Stegostoma tigrinum: one gene and its partners. The protein of the gene in region 3 purifies or fractionates together with the protein of the main gene of each other region. This does not show direct contact. Links are inferred from orthologs where the notes say so. Each region holds a gene or a part of one and is shown on either strand. Other genes may lie near its edges.

Region 1 (7,630 bases), on a different chromosome or scaffold from region 3:
TTCTCAAAGGGTTCGGCAGGGAAATGGTGGGAAGATTGGGAACAAACTGTATGCTCACAGAATAAATTGTTGACCATTTTGCAGTGACTGAAAAGGAATTTGCTCACTTGAAGGGATTTAAAAACTCTGGAATTTTTTTTTAAAATCAGAGACAGCTGTGAATCCTCAGTCGAGTACATTCAAGGTAGAGATTTATGGATGCTATGAGCATCCAGAAATATGAGGCTAGTGCAGGAAAGTGTCCTGAGGGAATAGATCAGCCACAACAAGTGAAGGGCAGAATAGGGCCCAGGGGCAGAATGGTCGAGTCTTGTTCCTTATTTTCCTATCACAAAAGGAACCTTTTTGAGTTAGATGAACAGTGGTAAGAGGCACAGAAATGGAAAGCACTTAAGAAATTCAGCAGGTCTGGCAGCTTCGGTGGAGAGAGAAACAAAGTTAACTTTTCCAGTTCTATACAGTCTTGTTCAGAACAGGAGTCTTAAAAAATGGCTCTGCACTTGGGAAACAACGCCCCACAAATCTGAGTTTTTGTGGATGTAACCAAAAGGATTCGTACACATTGGCTACATGGACGACAGTAAAGCCTTTGACAAGGTTCCACATGACAGATTAATAAGTAAAGCTAAATCACATGGAATTCAGGGAGAGTATGCCAACTGGAGACAAACTGGCTCGACAGAAGGAGACACAGGGTGGTGGTGGTGTTTTTCGGACTGGAGGCCGGTGACCAGCGGTGCTCCACAGGGACTGGAGCTGCTCCACTTTTGGTTGTCATTTATAGAAACAATTTGGACGAGAATTTTAGGAGGGATGGTTAGTAAGTAAGCAGATGACACCAAAATTGGTGATATAGTCAACACTGATGGTTATCTAAGAATACAAAGGAATCTTGATCAATTGCACCAACCGGCTGAGGTTTGGCAGATGGAGTTTAATTTGGATGAATACAAGGCAGTGCATTTTGTTGAAACAACCAAAGGCAGGACTTATACAGTTAACGGTAGGGCCCTGGGTACTGTTGTTGAACATAGAGACCCATGCATTCAGGTACACAGTTCTTTGCAAGTTGCAACACAAGTTGACAGGGTGGTTTAGCATTGTCTTAATCGCTTGTCTTCATCGCTTTGTCTAGGAGTATAGCAGCTAAGACATCATGTTGAGGTTGTACCGGATATTAATAAGGCCACTTCTGGAGTACTGCGTACAAGTCATTGAAAAACAGGAGAATGTGGGACTTGGCTAAAACGACTGGAGGGAAATGATGCATTATAAACATGCTGGAGAAAAGGAGGACATCATGTGGTGAAGAGGAATGGGCAGAGGTTAATACAGACACACATATTTCAGGCCAGTTTATCCAAATGACCTGATTCTGTCCTGAAAACTCTTAAATAATACCCTCTTACACAAAATAAAAAATACCAGAGAAACTCCACAGGTCTGAACAAAAAACTGAATCACTGAACTCGAAAGTCAACTCTCTTTCCTTCCATATGTGCTGTCAGATCTGCTGAGTCTCACCAGAAATTTCTGTTTTTGTTTCAGACTTCCAGCATCCACAATTGTGTGATTTATTCTATCGTCTAATTAAGGCAATACCCTCTGTAGCATCACAATTGTCACCAAGTTTCCCCAATATATATCTACATAATAATCAAAACAGACTATCATTGAGAGGCAAAACTTCCTCATCCATGGATTAATTTCGGATTTCAAAGAAGAATGTAATTCGGAAAAGAATACTTTTTTTTAAAAAATGAACACAATTTAAAATAACTTACTGGTTACACAACAAATACTAAAATTATAAAAGTTAAATTTCATGCTGCTATATTTGACTTTAGATTTGCCCAGAGGTTGTCACTTCTTCCTAGACAGCTCTGCCTTCCCGCCCTTTCTCAATCTTTGCGCCCATCTTCCCCCACCCTCCGACGCTCATCCGCCCGAAACCTTCCATCAGCAGCCGCCCACCGACCGCGCTCTCCTCGGCCGCGGCATCCAGGAAACACCGCTGCTTTGTCCGATAAGGTTGGCCGCCTACCGGATACCGTTCCTCCCGCCGCTCCCCAGGGGATCTGAACCGGTTTTTCGGAGTTTAACTGTTTTAACGGTTCGGGAGACGCCCGCAAACCCACGCTTTGTCAAACTGAAACTCTCACCATAAAGACACCAACTGGGGCCGCCATCCCTCGCCAAGTACCGCCATCTTGGCCAGACTGAAGCGGAGAGGCCACGAGCAGGCGGAAATAAACGAGCACAGAGCACATCGATCCATTCCCCCGCCGCGGGCTGAGTACTATTCACAGTACCCTCCAAGTCCTTGTCCAACTTTCTACAACTTAATCATTCTGGAAGCAATTTGGAAAAGCCACGAGACCGCATAAATCATACATTTTCTACAGAAGTTCTAGGTCCGCCTTTTCCAACAGTTTAGCTTCCCATCCTAATGTCACCACTTGCGGTCTCACTACTACCGCATTATCACGACACGAGTATGAAAAGAAAACTCAAGTAACGAATTGCTTTCGCCTTGGACTGTTCATCACGTAAACAACGCAAGTCACTGCCTTGTACTCGCTAGTCTTCTTCTAACATGGGTTGTAAAAATGGATACCGTCTGGACAAGACTCTAAGTTAAAGTGACATAGAGGATCCCAGGCTGTAGCTGGAAACTGAACAGTCCAGATGCTCATATTTCACTAATGACACGTTCTCAACTATTAGTTTGTTACCCTCAACAATGCAAATAAACATTTTTTTTTCCCCTGAAGAAGGGTCTGGGACCGAAACGTCAACCTTCCTGCTCCTCTGATGCTGCTTGGCCTGCTGTGTTCATCCAGCTCTACACCTTGTTATCTCAGATTCTCCGGCATCTGCAGTTCCTGCTATCTCTAATGCAAATGACATTTTGTTTTCACAAATATGCATAGTTCACCTTTGGGCGAGTAATTCCTCATCAGATAACACGTGATAAAATTAAAGAAATAATCAATGTTAATGTATGTGTATGTTTCTAACTCGAACAAAACGCCAACAATAACTGTAATTACATTATGTTTCCTACAGGAGGCAGAAGGATAAGGTAAAAGTTACACGGTTTCAACATAGGACACTGGAAAAAGATGCCTAACAATAAATCTGACAGTAATAATTGTAGAAAATAAATTCCAATAAAATCAGTAGAAAAATCATAAAATTTTCTATGAATGTAGTCGTAAAAGTGGATACATTTCATTAAACGTTTTAAATTCAAAAATGAAATGAGAAAAAGTTCCGAATTAATATCAACAAAAAGGTTTGAAAGTAAAATACGTACATCAAAATTCTGAAGAAACGTAGTCAGGAACAATTATTCAAAAGTTACTTTAGCGTAAGTAAAGTAAATTCAACCCACCCCAGATGGGACTCGAACCCACAATCCCTGGCTTAGGAGGCCAGTGCCTTATCCATTAGGCCACTGGGGCTACGTGTTTTAAATGGAAATTGAAGCATTTAAATACTTCGCTCGAGGTGGTGTTCTTTTTTTCATACTGTAATTGATTGGGTTTTTTCCCCTTCCATCTCATGCACATTTTAAATGCTAAATTGCTGGCTGCTTGATGAATTGATCTCGCCTCCGAGCAGACAGGAGAAAGATGTGGCTACTCGTTGCTATTTTGCGCAGCAGTGTGAAGGTATTTGCAGTAAGTGGGAGAATGAAAGTGGAGGTGAAAACCGAAGGAGCTGCAGATGCTGTAAATCAGAAGCAGAAAGAAAACATTGCTGCAACAGGTCAGCAGGTCTGGCAGCGCCTGGGAAGAGAAATTAAAGTTAATCTTTCTGCTCCAGTAATCATTTGTTTCTGAGTAAGTGGAGAATATTGCGCAAAACTGCAATGAGAACAAAGCAATTGAACCTTGGCGGGCATTCAGCCCATCGTGGCTGTGCTGTCTGTGTGAAAAACTCAGCCAATTTTCTGTATATCCCCAAACTCCTTCAATTGCGTTGTTCAAGATTTTATTGAACCATCCTTTGCTACGATCTCAGCGTAGGAACAGGGAGTTTGACAGAGTAGATGAGAAGTGAACGTCAGAAACATTCAAGATCCCTGCAGAGCAAGTAGGCTTTAAAAATTGGACACCCCAGATGGGACTCGAACCCACAATCCCTGGCTTAGGAGGCCAGTGCCTTATCCATTAGGCCACTGGGGCCCCTGCAGGTAATTGGGGTGTGGCTTATCTAAGGGCACGAACACCTTTTCTATTAGTTGTGTTGATATCAATTTTATGTTTGTACTCTGCCAATATTGCCAGCTGACCCACAATTCAAAATGACATTCAGAATAAAGTAAATAGAAATTAGTTAAAGGTTGGTCTTCCAAGATTGTAAATCTTGGAGCTGTGGTTATGCATAAGGAATGCCTGCCTTTATTATGGAATTCCTGAGGAACCTATCCGCCATAATTAAATGGCGGAGCAGACTTGGTGGGCCGAGTGGCCTAATTTCTGCTACTGTGTGATATGGTCTTATGATCTTTATTAGTAGAGGTAAAAACTGCTGATGCTGTAAATCAGAAATACAAACACAGGTCTGGCAGTATCTGTGGAGAGAAATCAGAGTTGGCATTTCGGCTCAAGTGACCCTTCTTCAGAACCCTTCCCGAAGTTCATAGGAAGGGTTAAAATTGTATCAGAGGTAATGGGAACTGCAGCTGCTGGACAATCTGAGAAAACAAAGTGTGGAGCTGGATGAACACAGCACGCCAAGCAGCATCTTAGGAGCACAAAAGCTAACGTTTCAGGCCTAGACCCTTCATCAGAAAAGGCGGATAGGGAGAGGGTTCTGAAATAAATAGGGAGATGTGGGAGGTGGATCCAAGATGGATAGAGGAGAAAGTGTGCCCCCACACCTCCTCCCTCACCCCCATCTCAGGCCCAAAGATGACTTTCCACATCAAGCAGATGTTCACCTGCACATCCACATGCTGCATCCACTGTACCCGGTGTGGCTACCTCTACATCGGGGGAACCAAGCGGAGGCTTGGGGACTGCTTTGCAGAACACCTCCGCTCGGTTCGCAATAAACAACTGCACCTCCCAGTTGCGAACCATTTCAACTCCCCCTCCCATTCCTTAGACGACATGTCTATCCTGGGCCTCCTGCAGTGCCACAACAATGCCACCTGAAGGTTGCAGGAACAGCAATTCATATTCCGCTTGGGAACCCTGCAGCCCAATGGTATCATGTGGATTTCACAAGCTTCAAAATCTCCCCTCCCTTCACTGCATCCCAAAACCAGCCTAGCTTGTCCCAGCCTGCCTAACCTGTTTTCCTCCCACCTATCCCCTCCTCCCACCTCAAGCCGCAGCTCCATTTCCTGCCTCCTAACCTCATCCCGCCCTCTTGATCTGTCCGTCCTCCCCGGACTGACCTATCCTCACCATACCTCCCCACCTACACTCACCTCTACTGGCTCCATCCCCGCCCCTTTAACTTGTCTGTCTCCTCTCCACCTATCTTCTCCTCTATCCATCTTCAATCCACCTCCCCCTCTCTCCCTATTTATTTCAGAACCCTCTCCCCCTCCCCCTTTTCTGATGAAGGGTTTAGGCCCAAAACGTCAGCTTTTGTGCTCCTAAGATGCTGCTTGGCCTGCTGTGTTCATCCAGCTCCACACTTTGTCATCTCATTTCCTAGGAAGGGTCACTGGATCTAAAATGTTAACTTTGATTTCTCTCCACAAACACAGCCAGACCTGCTGAGCTTTCCAGCAATATCTCTTTGTGTTTATTAGTCAAGGCATTGAATACAATTACTGGGAGGTTATGATGGAGCTGCATAAGATGTTAGTTGGGCCATAGCTGAATTACTTGGAGAACCCAGATTGCAAATGGGACAAAAATAGATGGGAGAGAAACTATGAACAATAACGCAAAAAGTTTACAGGGGAGATAGACAGGTTGAATGAATGGGCAAAAACTTGGCAGACTGAATATAATGTGGGAAAATGTGAGATTATGTAGTTTGGCAGGAAGAATAGAGCAGTTGGACATAATTTTAATGGAGAAAGTCTGAAGATAATTACAGCACAGAGGGATTTGCCGGTTTTTAAAAGACAGAAACAGAAATTGCTGGAGAAACTCAGCAGATCTGGCAACATCTTTGGGAAGAAAGAAAAGTTAATATTTTGAGTCTGGTGACTCTGGCAGCTAGGAAAACTGGCATTTATGCTGAAGCCAAACTGGGGACAAAGGGGTGATGAAAAGATAGGTGGAGACAGACCCCAGAGATAGAGATATGAAAGGGGCCGGTAAACAAGAAGATAATGGATATCAGGCCAAGACAGATAGCAAACTGAATAAGAGATAATAAGAGCTAAGAGTGAGAAAATGGGTTACTGAAAACAAAAAAAGCTGAAAATCACAGCAGGTCAGGCAGCATCCATGGAGACAGAGCAAGCTAATGTTTTTGAGTTCAGATGACTCTTCATCAGATTCTTCATTAGTGTCAAAAACAAAGTTGCTGGAAAAGCTCAGCAGGTCTGGCAGTACCTGTGAAGGAGAAAACAGAGGTAATATTTTGTGTTCAGTTTCAGGTAATGTTTCCCCGGACCCAAAATGTTAACTCTGTTTTCTCCTTCACAGATACTGCCAGACCTGCTGAGCTTTTCCAGCTAATTTGTATTTGTTCCTGATTTACAGCATCCGCAGATCTTTTGGTTTTTCTTCATTAGAGTCATCTAGACTTGAAATGCTAGCTTGCTTTCTCTCCACAGACGAATTTCGGCACGACAAGAAGCTGGACATTTTGGAGGCTCCCTTGTTGAAGTGGGCCTCATCTGAACATATCTGATGGAAACAGAGGAACTGAGAGAATGGGATAGAGTCATTATAGGAAGTGGGGTATGAGAGGGGCAGTGAAATTGAAGAAGAACAAACAACACTTCACCTGCACTTCCAAGAATCTAGTCTGCTGCATTCACTGATTACAATGTGGTCTCTACATTGGGGAAACGAAGCATAGACTTGGCAACCGCTTCACAGAATATCGATGTTGTGTTTGCAAAAGAGACCCTGAACTACCTGTTGCCTGCAACTTCAATGTAATGTATCACCCTGCTCCCTGACCAACATCTCTGGCTCTGGCTTGCTACAGTGCTCCAGTGAAGCCCAACACAAGCTGGAAGAACAATACCTCATTTTCCGCTTGGAGACCCTACAGTCCTCCGGACTCAATATTGAGTTCAATAATTTTAGGGCCTAAACTCTCCCATGTCCCAGCCACCCGCCCCCCACCCCACACATCAGGCCTTGTTACCACATAGCCTGCCATTACACACTCCCTGTTGTTAGTCAATAACAGCCCCCATTAACAACTACCCACCCTCCTTTGTCTATCCAACTGTTTTTCTCTCTCTTTGGGCCCTATCCTCTCGTTTACTCCCTTCCCCACCCACCTCCCTATTTTCTGCATATAAACTGACGTTTTCCCAGCCACCATCAGTTCTGAGGAAGGGTCACCAGACCCGAAACGTTAACTCTGTTTTCTCCTTCACAGATACTGCCAGACCTGCTGAGCTTTTCCAGCAACTTTGTTTTTGTTCTCTCCATAGATGCTGCCAGATGATTTCCAGCATGTTTTATTTTCA
Region 2 (7,733 bases), on a different chromosome or scaffold from region 3:
AGTTTATAAAGATTCAAATTTGCTAAGGATATATCTGTTCTTTAAACCACATTTTTCCAACAGACTAAGCTGCGATTTCAATGGGATGAGAATTATTGCAAACTCTCCAAGTACATGTTCTGATCCTACCTTAAAGCTGCCACCAAGAATTCAGGGAATATTTCTACAAGCAGCAACAATAACATATTCAAAAAAGGGTCACATTTATCTTTTTCAGTCTTTCAACTGCAGTACTTCAACTGCAATGAGTTTCACTACCAGACAAACTTGTAACATACCTCCATTTTCATGGCTTGTTTCAAATTAATGATTACAGTTTTACACAGCTAAAAAATTACTTTTGCAGCTACACCTCTGGTATATAGTTCATTATTTTCCCCATTCTTCCCTGAAGGTACTGAATCATATTGGTCGACAGCTCAAATGAATGCCACGCACCATCTGATGTTTGTCTAAATAGGCATTCGCACATGAGCGCTACACCAAAACCAGATCCTATTTTCATTACATATTCAAATACTATCATTAAAGTAGTGAAGCTCATTGTAACTCAAGTCAGGCACCTCAGCAGAGAACCAGGAATTGAAACCGCAGTAATGCATTTACTATTTCTGCCACCAGTGACAAGAGTTATTGAATCAAAAGTAACTATTTCACAAACAATGTACTTCATGCTAGGTATGAAGTCTCTAAATTGCACATCCAGTGACCAGCTGAATGCGAGTAGCTGGCAGGTTTAAAAAAAGATGCAGCCATCTGCTAAATGTACGAGAATTACATCACAATCAACATACACTGCAGGACTGTGTCATCCGATTTCACAATGGTATTACTCCAAAGCCAGAATAAAGGCCAGCCAGAAACAGCATTCAAATTACCTTGATAAATGCCACATGTGCTGTACAAATGCAAGTTATGATGAGTAGAAACGGCTTATGGAATAAGAGTTCCATGTGCAGTTGGTGCCACTCATTCAATGGGGTAAAGCACCAGTACCAGATTGTTTACGCATTGAGAAAAACTCCCACACCCCAAACCAAACAGATTTACCTGGTTATACAATTTGCTACTTTTAAGTAGCCACTGTAAACACAGTGAGAAATGAAATGAACGTCAACCTCAGATTATCTAAACTACACACTAACTACAACCAAAGTGTATGTATTCAACCAAAAAATTTCGCTACCAAGGACAGCAACATGATTGTAAAACAAACTGTGAAATCAAAATGAACACGCATAAAAGTAGCAATTTCACTAGGCCCACAAGCAAAACAATTTGAAAAGTGCGAGAATACAGTCTGTCACGGAGGTACCGATCGGCAGACTATTTACAGCAAGCACGGGAAATCAAACAAACCAGTGAATGGATTTCGGTGGGGGTGGGGGGGGAGGGGGGTTGGGGGGTGTGGCAGAAAGAGAAGGGCAGCGGGAGGTTAAAAGGTAAAATGGAACTGGTCACTCCATTTTAGGAGTGGGCGCTTCGTCCTACCAACATGTTAAATTTCTAGAATGTTCTCTTTCATATATCGCTAACAACGCAGCAAGGTATTTTAAATTGGAAATCTATTATGGAGGAAATAAACAACTTGTTGCATTTCAACGAAGGAAAAACCAAACTTATCCTTCAAAATAAACAGAGCATTCGTAGTCTAGTTGATGGTTGGTTGACACATTTAGAGACCCACAAAGATAGCAAGAGAGAATTTTGATCAGAGCTGCAGAACATGCCTCACACAAGATGCATATTCTACGTTTAAAACACATTGAACACCAACTCAAGTCAGGGACTTGGTTTCTCACTTGCAACTTCATACATACAAAAAAAGTCATCGTATTTGGATTTTAAACAAAAACTCCTCCCAGAATCACAGCAAACGTTTGTTGTGAATTAAGCCTTTCAACTCCCCTCCCTCCCGGAGAAACAACTTTAAACAATAGACTCGCCGAACAAAAACAACAACAATGGGGGGGAAAAAAAGGGGGGGGGAAGAGAAGAGAAGATATCGGACAGAGCAGGATGAATGATTGTGTTTGTTCAATTTTACTTGAAATCGAATGATTCTCTGAATTTCGTTTCCCAGTCGGGTTGCAGAACGTTAACGAACATGCTGTTTTCTTTGTAAGACCTATATGCCAGAAATCGAATTTAAGATCGTCTAAGCAAGTTTAATTTGTTACACTTGTGTTTTATCAACAGTGACGAAATAGACCGAAATACTCTGCGCCTTGCCGATGAATCGAGCAATTTGCGAAACGCCCCTACGCTGATATTGACTCCGTTTTGTTAAAATATACATTTTAAAAGTTATTGGGTATATATTGTTCGTCGGAGGCTTTTCTACTAAAAATTGTAGTTTAAAAGGGTAATCAGCTAACTTTGTTAGCAGCATGTGGCTCGTCTTTCTCCTAAACAATGCCATGGCTATGATGGATGTGTGGCAGAGCAGATCATGAAGAACGGCAGCACCTTATCGGAAGGCACGCTCCTTTACGAAAGGAACACACCATGTCCTCCCGTTTTCAAGCCCAAGAGATACCAACTTTATTAAACTTTTTAAAACTAAGACAAACGTTTTATACAACAAAAGGTAAACAACGATGATTAAAGTCCACATCAGTGTATCGGTGATTGCAATCGAGCCGTTTTAGAACCACAATAGAATTGAGCCAGCAGCTGGGAGGCGAGATTGACATCCTGTATCCATATGATTACTAACTTTGAATTCTTTGAAATGACAGGGGCTTCGAGAGGCAACTTAATCATTTACAGGAAAGAAAAAAGTCTCATAACTCATTGAAGGGAAAAACAGAATTACCTCAATTTCGAAGTCTGGGAGCCCAAATGCTGTCCTGAATAAAGAGCAAAAGTGTGCGATGGCGGGTACTTCCCACCAAGAACGAATTTCTTCTACCGAAACGGTCGAAGATGTACATTCCTCGGACATTTTAAATGGCATCAAATAAATCCCTGTCCTCACATGAGATAGTTTTCCTCGAACTTGGCTTCCTTGTGTAAATTTCCACCCCCACCCTCCCCTCCACCAGACCCCCTCTGTTTCCAGTCTCCTAGTGCCGGTTGGCGTAAGGAATGTGCTGGGTGTTAAGTGTGTGCGCTGCCTGCCATTGCCGGTCTATTCCTCTCCTCTTCTCTCTCTCTCTCTCTCCCCTTCCTTCCTTCCTTCCTTCCTTCCCCTCTCTCTCTCTCAGTGCAGGCGTGCGTGTGTAATCCTGGAACAATCTCGCAGCCCCATTCTCAGCGAGGAACAGATGGCCGGACAACAACAGGGGAGTGCTCCAATCCTTCAACACACCGGAGGGAGACCAGGACGCACTGAACTGCTCAACGCCCGGCGCATCCCTTCACCAAAACTGCCGACAGCCCTCCACCCCTGCTGTGCACAATGGCGAACGCCGGGCCGAGCCCGAGGCAACGGGGAGAATGGCGGCTTGTTGGGCAGTCGCTGCCACGTTCGGAACTCAGACACCCCCGCGAGAAAGTAGAAAGGCTCGTCGCCACCAACAGGAAGTGACGCAGAGGTCTCCTGGGTACCAGCCAATGGGCTGAGCCGCGCTGTCCTTTGGGATGGGGGAGGTGGGGCGAAGTGCCTGGATATATTGTGCGCACCCCGGGGGTTTTAACGTCGAGTTTGTTTAATAAGGCTGGTCTGTGGATTTTGGGAAGGAATGACTGGGGTGGGGAGAAAACTATCCATTGAATAATCGAGCTATTCTTTAGTTTCCTTCCTTGCTATATTAAGTTCCTGCACTTTAGAATTGGTGTCGAGAGCCTTATCGTTTGTTGTTTAGTTGGAGGTTGCAACTAGTGGTAGAGTGCGCGAGCGTTTCTGTTGGATCACCCAACGTTCCATTCCCAGAATCTCCGCGTTCTAAACGGTTGTTGTTGTTCTGGAGCCCGCGCTCGGGCTAAAACCTTCCTTACTCCCCTAAGACATCCCCATCCCCACCCCCACCCCCTTCCCTGGGGAAAGGGCGAGTGACACCGTGCACCGCCCATCCATTTCAATGCTGTCGCCTGCCAAAACACCCAGTCCCTTTACTTCGGTGTTTGATTGCGTTAAATGTATTCGACTTCTTATCCTTGCCCCCGAGTAATCAGCAGAGATGTGACTGCTTTTTTTTAAAAAAAGTCACCCTTCTGTCATGGGCATCAGGACACAAGTGACAATTTCTCTTTACGTGGGTGCACGCGTTTCCTATATCAAATAACAGTCCAGTTACTTCAGCTGTCCCCTTAAAGGGAAGTACAAGATCTTTGCAGAAGCGAAAGTTGAGTTTATAATTGATTGCACGTTTCGTGTTCTCGTCAGTTCTCGCTAACGTTTGAATATTATACAGAACCGTGTGGTCTTTTGAAAATGAAGGCACCAAATTTCAGAAAAGAGGCAGCTGTGTTTTCCTTTTTCTTTTGTTTGTTTGCGGTGTGTCAAACGTTTCCAACTCCGGCCGACCGAGCTAGTTTGATAAAACTGGAGCAGTTCCAATTTACAGGCGGTAATCTCCTCTCGACTGAAAAAGAACTGCAGGTTAATTGTATACTTAAGAGAATCAAAGCAAAGGAGATAATGGAAGGAATGAAAACTGGTAAATTTGCCCCAGCTATGCACTTTTTCAGAGCAAAAGAATTAATTGAACAAAGTCCAGTTTTTAAAATTATACAGATGATGCCCAAAGGTAAGCAATGATATGAGGTTTATTAATCGACTGCGTAATGGGTTGCGGATATTTTAGAAAACTGGCTTTTTTAAAAAACTTTCAAATGAAGATAAAATGACCACTTTATTCAACATACAGTGTAGACCTGGAGGAATCAAGCCGGTTCGGCAGTGAGGAACGTCGACGTTTCGGTTCGGGACCCTGCATCCAGGACTGGGAGGGGAGCTGTGTAATAAATAGAGAGCAGGGGTGGAGCTGGGAAAGGTAGGTGCGATGGTGATAGGTGAATGCAGGTAGGGACTGGTGAGAATTGGTCAGTTAGTTGGGTGGGGCTGATAGATGGGAGATAAGATGGACAGGTTGCCTCATGTCCAGGAGGCAGGGACGAGAGGGGAAGCGGGTTGGACTTGGAAATAGGCCCTGGGGTGGGGAGAGATGAAACTGGTGAATTCTGTGTTCAGGCCATTAGAGGCCGAGTATGTTGTTCCTCCAGTTTGTGTGTGGCACCATTGGGACACTGGAGGAGGCCCTGGATGAACATGTTAATGGGAAGTTAGGTTGGCAAACAGAACGGTGTTGCTGGTTATAGTGTACAGAGTGCAGACGCACCGTGAATCGGTCACCTAGTCTGTACTCAGTCTCACTAATGCAGAGGAGGCCACATTGGGAGCAACGGAATACAGTGTTGAAGGTTGGAGGATGCTACAGGTGAACCCCTGTCGGATATGGAAAGTTTGTTTTGGGCCTTGGACAGAGGTGAGAGAGGAGTTGTAGAGGCAGGTGTTGCACCTCCAGCACTTGCAGGGAAAGGTGCTGAGTGTGGAGTAGATGAGCAAGTCACGGAGTGAGCGGCCCATACAAAAGGCCGAAGCGGTGGAGATGGAAATATCTCTGGTGGGGTCAGATTGCAGGTGGCAGAGAATGACCTGCTGGATGCAGAGGTTGGTAGAATGGTATATGAGGACCAGGGGACTCTGTCTTTATTTTTGTTGAGGAGTGGGGATTTCAGAGCAGAAGTGCGGGAGATGCAGTTGAGGCAGTTTGGATCATCGGAGGGGGTAAGGTTTGACTAGGAGTAGAATGCTCCATCTTGGGAGCAGATGATGTGGAGGTGGAGGAATTGGGAGTGAGAGATTGCATTCTTGTAGGAGGGTGGGTAAGAGGAGGCGTAGGCAAGATGACTACGAGAGTCAGTGGCTTTGAAATAGATGTTGGTGCTGAGACAGATACTGGAGATGGAGAGGTCCAGGAAGTGGGGAGGAGTATCCAAGATAGTCTAGGTGAAGTTGAGGTTGGGGTGAAAGGTGTTGGTAAAGTTGATGAATTGGTGACCGATTTGCAGAGCATCTGTGCTCTGTCTGCTATAATCAGCAACAATTTCTGGTTGCCAACCATTTTAACTTTCCCTCTCACTCCCTGGGCCACATGTCCATCCTGGGCCGGCCTCCTCCAGTGCCACAATGACGCCACACGCAAATTGGAGGAACAACACCTCATACTTTGACTGGGGAGCTCGTGGCCTGACGGCCTGAACATAAAATTCATCAGTTTCAAAATCTCCCCCACCCCGGCTTCATCCCAAGTCTAACCCTCCCTCCCATCCCTTCCTCCTTAATCTGACACACTCTGTTCATCTTCTTTCCTACCTTCCACCCTACTCTTGCAACTGACCAATCTCTACAGCCCCCACCTGTGTTCACCTGTCACCAACCTTCCTTCCTTCTGACCCAACTCCCCGTTTATTTCTGAGCTCTGTTTTTTTGCCCCCCTCCCCAGCCCTGATGAAGGGTGTAAACCTGAAATGTCAACATTCCTGCACCTCTGACCTGCTGTGTTGCTCCAGCTTCGCACTGTATTGACTCTGACTCCAGCGTCTACAATTCTTGTTACCTCTGTGTTTGGTGAGTCGTTGGATAAAATGATGTGTGACTGTTGGGGATTTCACAAATCTGGAGGTGTACTGTATTGATCAAGGGTCTGGGGAGGAGGCACTTATCAAAGCACAAACTAAGAAAAACTATGAATGCAAGACAAACTGTTAACCGTTACTGAGGGAATGTAACAGCTTTTTATATATTATTGGTGAATCTCCCACGGTGTGAACTGAGAGGATGTTTCAAGTATTCTGTATAACATGAGATATTGGTGTATTTTCTTTTAAGAAATAAAAGATCAGAATAAAAGGTAATTTTTGACAGGGCAGTTCGGTGAGGGTTCAGAAGGTTGCAGATGACTCTGATTTTGTTCCTTTAAAGGTTTGTAGATATTATGAAATTGATGAAAATGAGTTGAAATGTTATTTCGTGCCTGTAGAGCCAAGAAGTGACCTTTTGAAATATAGGAACTTTGCACTTTGTATCAAACTTGGATCTGTTTACTTTTCTGTGGTGTAACCTGCATTCTAGAAATAAAAGCAAACTCGAGACCAGGGTTGAGAGGAATCAATTATGCAAAGAATAACCAAACAACATGTGCTCACATAAATTCATTTATGACTTGTTCCTGAATTCTTCTGTGTAAATAGTATGATAGTGCTTTGTGCAAAACCTTTAATCAACTTTTATTGCTTTCCAGTGACACTGCACGTGAAAATTCAAGATTTGTCTGGGTGCACTTAGCTATTTCTAAATCCAGCAGGTCTGTGAGATAAAACAAGAGTTAACCTTTCGAGTCCATGTGCAATCATTCTGTTTTCTCTCCACAGAAGCCTGACCTGCTGAGTTTCTCCTGCCATTTCAGTCTTTGTTTGTTTGTTTCAGATCCCCAGGTCTTTGTTTTATTTTTAAATCTGTTGGGGATTATTATGCTAATGTTTATCCAAACTTTAAGGATAGCTCCTTTTTAAGATTTCATAAAGTAATTTACTGAGTAGAATTAAATTGTGTCAGTTGTCTGGTGTTCCCACCAAATGAGATTTATTACTTCCGTTTCTAATTTGAGGGAGTCTTCCATGCATGTTTATTTGTACATGTTGCAGAAATACATATACATAGAACATTACAGCACAGTACAGGCCTTCGGCCCTCGATGTTGTGCCGACCTGTCAAACCGATCTGA
Region 3 (7,013 bases):
AAGCAGCTGTTGAGGCTGAAAGCAATTTTGATCAATGAGCCAGTGTTAACTGCTCCTAATTTTACAAAAACTTCAGAAAGCTTTATTCATATAACTGCTTTAGCACTCAATTCAAGGTTTTTTTTTCATTCTCTTCACTAAATTGCCTATGGTATTTTCTTTTCATCTATTAACTACCACCTTTATCACCCAATCCAAATGATTACATTTATGGAGATGGTATTGCTTCAACATATAGATATGACACAGCTGAACCAATGTACTTTACCAAACTTTTTGACTATACTATATGGACAGCTGAACCATTCTTTAAATAGAATCCCTGCAGTGTGGAAGCAGGCTATTCTGTCCATCGAGTCAACACTGACCCTCCGAAGAACATCCCACCCAATCCTGCTAATGCCATACTTTACATGACTGATCCACCTAACCTACACAACCCTGGACACTTTGAGCAATTTCGCATGACCAATCTGCCTAATGTGCACGACTTTGGATTGCAGGAGAAAAACCAGAGCACGCAAAGGAAACCGCAGACTGTCGCCCAAGGCTGGAATTGAACCCGGGAACTGTGAGCCACCATGCCATCCCAAATTATTCATCTTTTGAAGACAGAAATACGAGCATCACCTGGTTTTGCTCTTCAGGATTGGAGCCAGTTATTGCCCCATTTCATCATGGCTCGGGATGCTCTAAGATGTTAATGAGATAATTTTCAGGCTTCTTTGAGTTATTCCTGGATTGCATAAATACAGTGTAATATGGAGGATTCATCCCACTATTCTATTTCTTTATTTCTCTATTTCTGTAACAAAGATTTTATACCAAGGTAAATCTTACCTAAGATGGTGTCTTGCGTGGCAACATTGTGTGATTGTCACTGCGCTCTTGAATGCCGTACTTGAGTACGTGACAATAAAATCTAAATCTAAATTTAAATCCAATGTTGCAATTGATACCAGTGACTTAGGGTAGGTAAGGTCATATTACAAGATGAATTGGGTTTAGAGAAGTCAGTGGGATATGTTTCCAACAACTTAAATCCACATCAACAGAGACACTCTACAGTAGGGAAAAAAAAGGGATTACTACTCCCCTTTGAGCATTTTGAGGTAAAAGTCCATCATGGCTGCAGGGAAGTGGGAAAATTTTCAAGAAACAAAATGCCAGGCTATTTCTGTGGAGTTTGCTATTACAGGCATATCACTTAAGAGTCATTGACACTGCAGCAAGAAATAACGTCATTGCTGATGTTCTGTCAAGAATGTAACTTTATTCAAATTATCAAATAATTAAGTATCGAGATAACCGCACAAGATGCAGGGAAAAGTGACTGAGAATGCGTGTAAATTTGTCTTAAGTTTTTGTATATTTTATTCTTGTTTAGACTGTGTAATTTCAAATCACTTTTCAAGACAGGTGATGTTATGGATGCTTTAAATCTAATTATTTTTGAAGGCTTTATGAATACTTGGATTCTTAAAAGTGGTTAATGAAAGTTGTAACAAAAATAGAAATTGTAGGAAAAGCTCAGTATGTCTGGCAGCATCTGTGAGGAGAAATCCGAGTTAACATTTCGAGTCCAGTGACCCTTCCTCAGAACGGATGGTAGCCAGGAAAATGGATGTTTATATGCAGGAGAAAGGGTTGGGGGAGAAGGTTGGGAGTAAACAATAGGTGGGGATGAAGCACAAAGAGAGAGAACAGTTGGACAGAAAGTTGTATTTTTTTTCAATAAATGTCTCTTGAAAGCCACATCTTGTGAAAACTGAGATAACAAGGTGTAGAGTTGGATGAACACAGCAAGTCAGGCAGCATCAGAGGAGCAGGAAAGCTGACGTTTTGGGTCTGGACCCTTCTTCAAAAATGAGGGAGGGGAAGGGGACTGGAATAAATAGCGAGAAAGGCGAGGTGCTGATAGAAGGTGGATAAAGGAGCAGATAAGTGGAAAGAAGACAGACAGGTCAAGGAGGCAGGGATGAGGATAATAGGTAGGAGGTGGGGGCAGGGGTTGATCAGTGAGGTAGGAGGAGCGGATAGGTGGGAGGAAAGACGGATAGGTCAAGGAGGCGGGGACGAGCTAGACTGATTTTGTGATAAAGTCCAGTGTGGGGAGATTTTAAAGCTTGTGAAGTCTACATTGAGACCATTGGGCTGCAGGGTTCCCAAGTGAAATATGTGGTGCTTGTGAAAACTGCTTGTTTACTGCAAACGCTCTGCCTGTGTTTACAACTGTCGTATTGCAGAGTCTGCCTTGGAGATTATATAGAATTTTTTGTTGACGGCCAGCCTGGGGAAGGAAATGAACTTCCCAGACTATCTCTCCTGTTTCTGAAGTGACATTTTATTGTAGGTTCATTCTGGAATGTGGAGCCCCGATCCAGTCTTAACACTGATTGTGCACCTGACAGTGATTGGAAGAATCTTCAACAGTGTTTTTCTGAGCAAGCTACATTGGCAAAGAAACCAGATACAATCACTGGACTTTCTTGACTGTCCTCTGGATACCAGAATGTCAGTTCAACGTTCCACACCTTATCTTTTTTTGTAGCCATCAACAACTAAAACCTAATGCCCAAAGCACCTTTGTTTCCCCAAAATGCATCTCTACAGCGTGCAATGATTCTTTTTCCCTTACCCAGCATGTTTTTGCACTTTTCCTTCCATGTTTCATTATTTCAGAGGTGAATTTTTATATTTTCAATTGCAAACTAAGTCTGTTAACCAGTGTTGTAACAACCTGAATAAGTTTGTTTATAAAAATCAATAATTTTGTGTTGCTTGCTTGATTTTAAGTTTAATATAGAATAAGTGCATGACTCATCATTTAAGGAAGCAGGAAATAATTAAATTTATGTTTGATGCAGCAGGACTAGAACCACGTCCGAAATAACAGGATTAGTGGTGCTAGATAATGGACACTTCCAACAATACTTTCAGGAACTAACCAGGAAATATGCTATTTGAGACACTAATATATAAGGTAGGATTAATTAATAACTTCATTGTAAAAGATCACTTGGGCAAGAATAATCATATGATAGATCAAGAGTGATTAAACAATAGAGAAACTAAAATGACGAATGGTTGATAAGTCTCTAGGACCCATTGACCGGCATCTTAGCTTCTTAAAACATGTAACTACAGAGTAAGTGTTGGATTGGTTATAAACTTCCAAAATTCCACAGATTCTGGAACGGTCCCAGAGATCGGAAAACTGCAAACACAAGAACTCAATTTCAGAACAGAGGCTCAAAGAAACCAGAAAACTATGGACTTAGACTGTAGTTTTTCGTCATCTATTCCATTCTCCTTTTATTCCCTCCTACTACCTTCCAACCTGCCCCTTCACTATCCTACACCCTCCACACTGCCTGGCCACCTCTATCCCGTTCCCTGGACACTCTTCAATCCCTCCTACTTCACTCCTTTACACATTCCATGCTGCCTGGGCTACCTCCTCCCTGCCGCCTAAAGATGCCTCAAACTGTCCCAGCTCCCTGACCCTTCACTACCCTAGACCATCCACAATGCCCAGCCACCTGCACCCTCTTGCTTCTCACCGCCCTGCAACCTTCCACCCTACACTCTCCTGCCTCTCTGCAACCTTCCACCCTGCACTCTCTATTCCCGCCACCAGACTGTTACTTAGCAACAGTTCAAACCAAAAGTAACAATCCGGGTAGGTTCTCGCGAGATAATGGGAACTGCAGATGCTGGAGATTCCAAGATAATAAAATGTGAGGCTGGATGAACACAGCAGGCCAAGCAGCATCTCAGGAGCACAAAAGCTGACGTTTCGGGCCTAGACCCTTCATCAGAGTCTCTGATGAAGGGTCTAGGCCCGAAACGTCAGCTTTTGTGCTCCTGAGATGCTGCTTGGCCTGCTGTGTTCATCCAGCCTCACATTTTATTATCTAGGTTCTCGCGAGTGCGGTCCCTGGGGGAGAGGGGGCGGAGCTACGTCTGGCGGGATTTGGCGAGGACGTTATCGCGAGAGCCGGGCAGCGGCGGAGGTGGACGAGTAGGCGGTTGAGCGGAAGATCGGAGCCGGCTGAGGGGGTGGGGGAGCCGGAGGAGCCGACCCGGCGGCAGAGTGGTGTTGGAGGGAAACGGTGTGAGAGGTCGGCTCCGGTGAGGCATTTTCAATTCAACCGTGGGGAGGTGCGGGAAAGGAGAACGGAACATGTCGGAAGCCGAGGAGAGGCCGAGCGCCAACTTGAACCTGAACCCTAACCCGGCCGACGGGCAGGTGGAGGAGGCGAGCTCGAAGCTGGGGGCGATGGCGGCCGAACCCCAGATGCAGACTCCGGGCACGGACCAGGTGAGAGGGAGAGAGATCGGATCCGTCGACAACCCCGTCCTGCCCGCCGCGAGAGCGGCCGGTTACCCGCCTCGTGTTCATCTTTATCGGGTCCCCCGTCATGTAAACAACCCCGTTCCTTCCATCCCCGGTTTACCGCCCAGGTCCTGTCTGCCCTGATAACGGGTGGTGGGAGGGAGGATGGGGTCCGGTGAAGAATACGGTCGCCGGCACTCGGTGTGTGTGTTGGGGGAGGGGGAGAATAGACTTGGTTCGTCGCTGACGGCGCACGCGCAGTCCGCTTCCCCTTTCCCCCTTCTTTGTCTGATCCTCGCCCCCTATCCTCAGGAGGAATCCTCCACCCGGGATCCGCTACGCCAACCCGCGGAAGGTCCAGAGGAGCCCTGAGGGCCTCTGGAAGCCACCGCGAAGAAATAAACGGAGGGTGGGGAAGGAGGAAAGGATCAATGAATCTCCATGGCCCTGCTTCGTTCGCTCGCTTCACTTTTTCTCAAACACACACACTCCAATCACCTCTACCTCCCACTCCCCACAGCTTCTACCCTCCAAAACGCCCCCTCATGCCCTGTTTAACCCCTTTACACTCTCTCCCTCCCTAACACCCCCCTTCGTATACCTTGTTTAACCCACATTTTTCTCTCTGTCTCTTTCACACTCTCCCTTTGTCCCTGACACAGAATCCTTTCACGTTCCTCTGTCACCGTAATCCCTTATGTCCCTCGTTTGCCCTATCCAGCATTAGCCCATCCCCAAATCTCCACCTCTCTTTAAAGAGACGTCAATGTCTCGGCCAGTCACCTCCATCTGCTAACTTCAGAAAGTACTCATTAACGTTTTGGGGCCAACATATCTGATAGGGGCTAATTGCAGTTTTAATGCATTTTATTCTGGGTCTGATTGCTGGTCAGCAGTGAGTAGTTTTGTTGGTGCCCCGTTGTCATTCTTCTGTTATTGCTGCTCTTGGTTTTGTAGAACTGTCTGTTCATTCAATATTTCCTGATTCCAATTTGGAATATGACCCACTTATTCAGCAGGGCTGGTTTTGGTCTGAACCCCAAATGTCACTTTACTGTCGTTCCTCCGTGCTAGTTAGCTGTGTAAAAGGTAAATTGTTTAACAGTTTTGGGTGAACTACTGGCTAAGCTATTTGTAGCCAATCAATATATTTACTTTGATGGAAGAGAATCATCCTACAAGGTATTGTTTCCAAGGCAGAATGTTCATTATGCCAGTTTCCATCTCAAGATGGTGTGACAGTGGTTTGATGGAGATCAGGCAATTTGTTTTTTGTTTTAGTTAGAAATGGAGAGAATAATTTTGATCAAAAGACGTGACTCCTTTAATAAACTGGAAAATTAATTTATTGGTACATGAACCTCAAATACAAGGAGTTACACTTTGAAGGAAAATTTAAAAGTTTGCACGATGCTAGAAAAAAATTGCAACAAAGGGATCTCGAGTCCATCGTTGTAAATATAAATGCACATTAGGAAGACCATTTTAAAATTGTAACCTAAGCAGTTGGGTTAATTTCTTGGTGGCTTACCTGACATAGACTGGATGAGCACAGGTGGCTCATCATCTCAAGATTTGAAATACTGAAGGCAATTGTTTCTAGGCCCCACTGTGAATTCTGTTCCCTAGCCACCAGATGCTTCCCCCTCATGGTTGCTTTCTGAGAGTGAGCCAGGGAATTTAAAACTTTTTGACCTCTGACTGTGTATTCACACTGTTACTAAAATATTCCACTTCCACTTTAGTAGCTGAAACCTTTATTGACATCATAACTGTCCCATCTTTATGGCCACCCTCCCATTTTCCAAACTTCATAAACTTGAGCGTATTTAAAATTCGATCTGTATTGGCACTCAATATGTTTGCTGATTATGCTGTACCCTAATCATGCAATACCTTGATTTTTAATATCTTCATCTTTGTTTATGAATGCCCAGTACTTTTTCTGTAATTGCCTGCAATCCTACCAGGTCACTCTGCTGTTCCATTTCTGGCTTCTTGCACATCTCTCATTTTAATTATGTTTAGCTATCTAAACGTGAGCTTCTGAAATACTCTTTCTAAAATTTTCTGTCCTCTAAACTGACCTGTAGATTACATTGATCCTAATACTTCTATCTGTGGCTTATTCTCAGTATTATACGGCAATGTTCCTGTGAAGTGCTTTGTATGTTTTATGTTAACATAGTTTAATCACCAATTTTGTATTTATACTCTATCTCTCAACCTGTTGCACAATTCTGGTTTCTATTTTGTAAAGAACTATGTAGGCCCTGGAAATGATGTAAAAGAAAAACCCACAAAGATATACCTCAAGAAGCTACCCTCTGAGGAAATAGCTGGAGCTATTTAAGCTCGGAGAGGCTGGTGCATGGCCTAACAAGTATGTATGCATACATGCATGCATGAGCTAGTTGGACTACATTTACCTTTTGTGTGCTTCCATGTATGACTTACGTAACTTGTTTTGGACCTAACTAGCTACAGCAGTTAGTCTGAAAGATACTTTGACCCCTTATGAACTGTTATAACTTCCTACTTCTTGTGAGCCCTAACTCTGTAGTCTTTGGTTCTCAGTCAGAAAGTGATTCAATTAGCACATGAACGTGTTGAGAACTGAAATTGGGCCTAACTCTACATTGTCAAGTTTGTTACCTTTCAAGTGAGATGGAAT

The links. The genes of interacting proteins can lie anywhere in the genome.
Region 1: the proteins of SWI/SNF-related matrix-associated actin-dependent regulator of chromatin subfamily A member 5 (region 3) and hmgxb4a purify together in Homo sapiens (affinity purification with mass spectrometry; 3 studies listed by BioGRID and IntAct, with this or other methods). This does not show direct contact. The link is inferred for Stegostoma tigrinum from reciprocal best matches to the Homo sapiens genes SMARCA5 and HMGXB4.
Region 2: the proteins of SWI/SNF-related matrix-associated actin-dependent regulator of chromatin subfamily A member 5 (region 3) and chromatin remodeling regulator CECR2-like purify together in Homo sapiens (affinity purification with mass spectrometry; 3 studies listed by BioGRID and IntAct, with this or other methods). This does not show direct contact. The link is inferred for Stegostoma tigrinum from reciprocal best matches to the Homo sapiens genes SMARCA5 and CECR2.

The regions. Positions count from the first base shown.
Region 1 is NC_081391.1:4,172,916-4,180,545, reverse strand, and holds the start of hmgxb4a (HMG domain-containing protein 4a), read right to left. Parts: upstream 3,010-7,630; 5' UTR 2,939-3,009; intron 2,631-2,938; exon of another isoform or gene 2,163-2,630; intron 1-2,162. UniProt on the Homo sapiens protein: Negatively regulates Wnt/beta-catenin signaling during development.
Region 2 is NC_081371.1:27,548,607-27,556,339, reverse strand, and holds the start of chromatin remodeling regulator CECR2-like, read right to left. Parts: upstream 3,010-7,733; 5' UTR 2,960-3,009; coding exon 2,819-2,959; intron 1-2,818. Other genes in the region: adenosine deaminase 2-like, read left to right, coding at 4,379-4,694. UniProt on the Homo sapiens protein: Regulatory subunit of the ATP-dependent CERF-1 and CERF-5 ISWI chromatin remodeling complexes, which form ordered nucleosome arrays on chromatin and facilitate access to DNA during DNA-templated processes such as DNA replication, transcription, and repair.
Region 3 is NC_081354.1:14,750,939-14,757,951, forward strand, and holds the start of SWI/SNF-related matrix-associated actin-dependent regulator of chromatin subfamily A member 5, read left to right. Parts: upstream 1-3,992; 5' UTR 3,993-4,186; coding exon 4,187-4,324; intron 4,325-7,013. UniProt on the Homo sapiens protein: ATPase that possesses intrinsic ATP-dependent nucleosome-remodeling activity.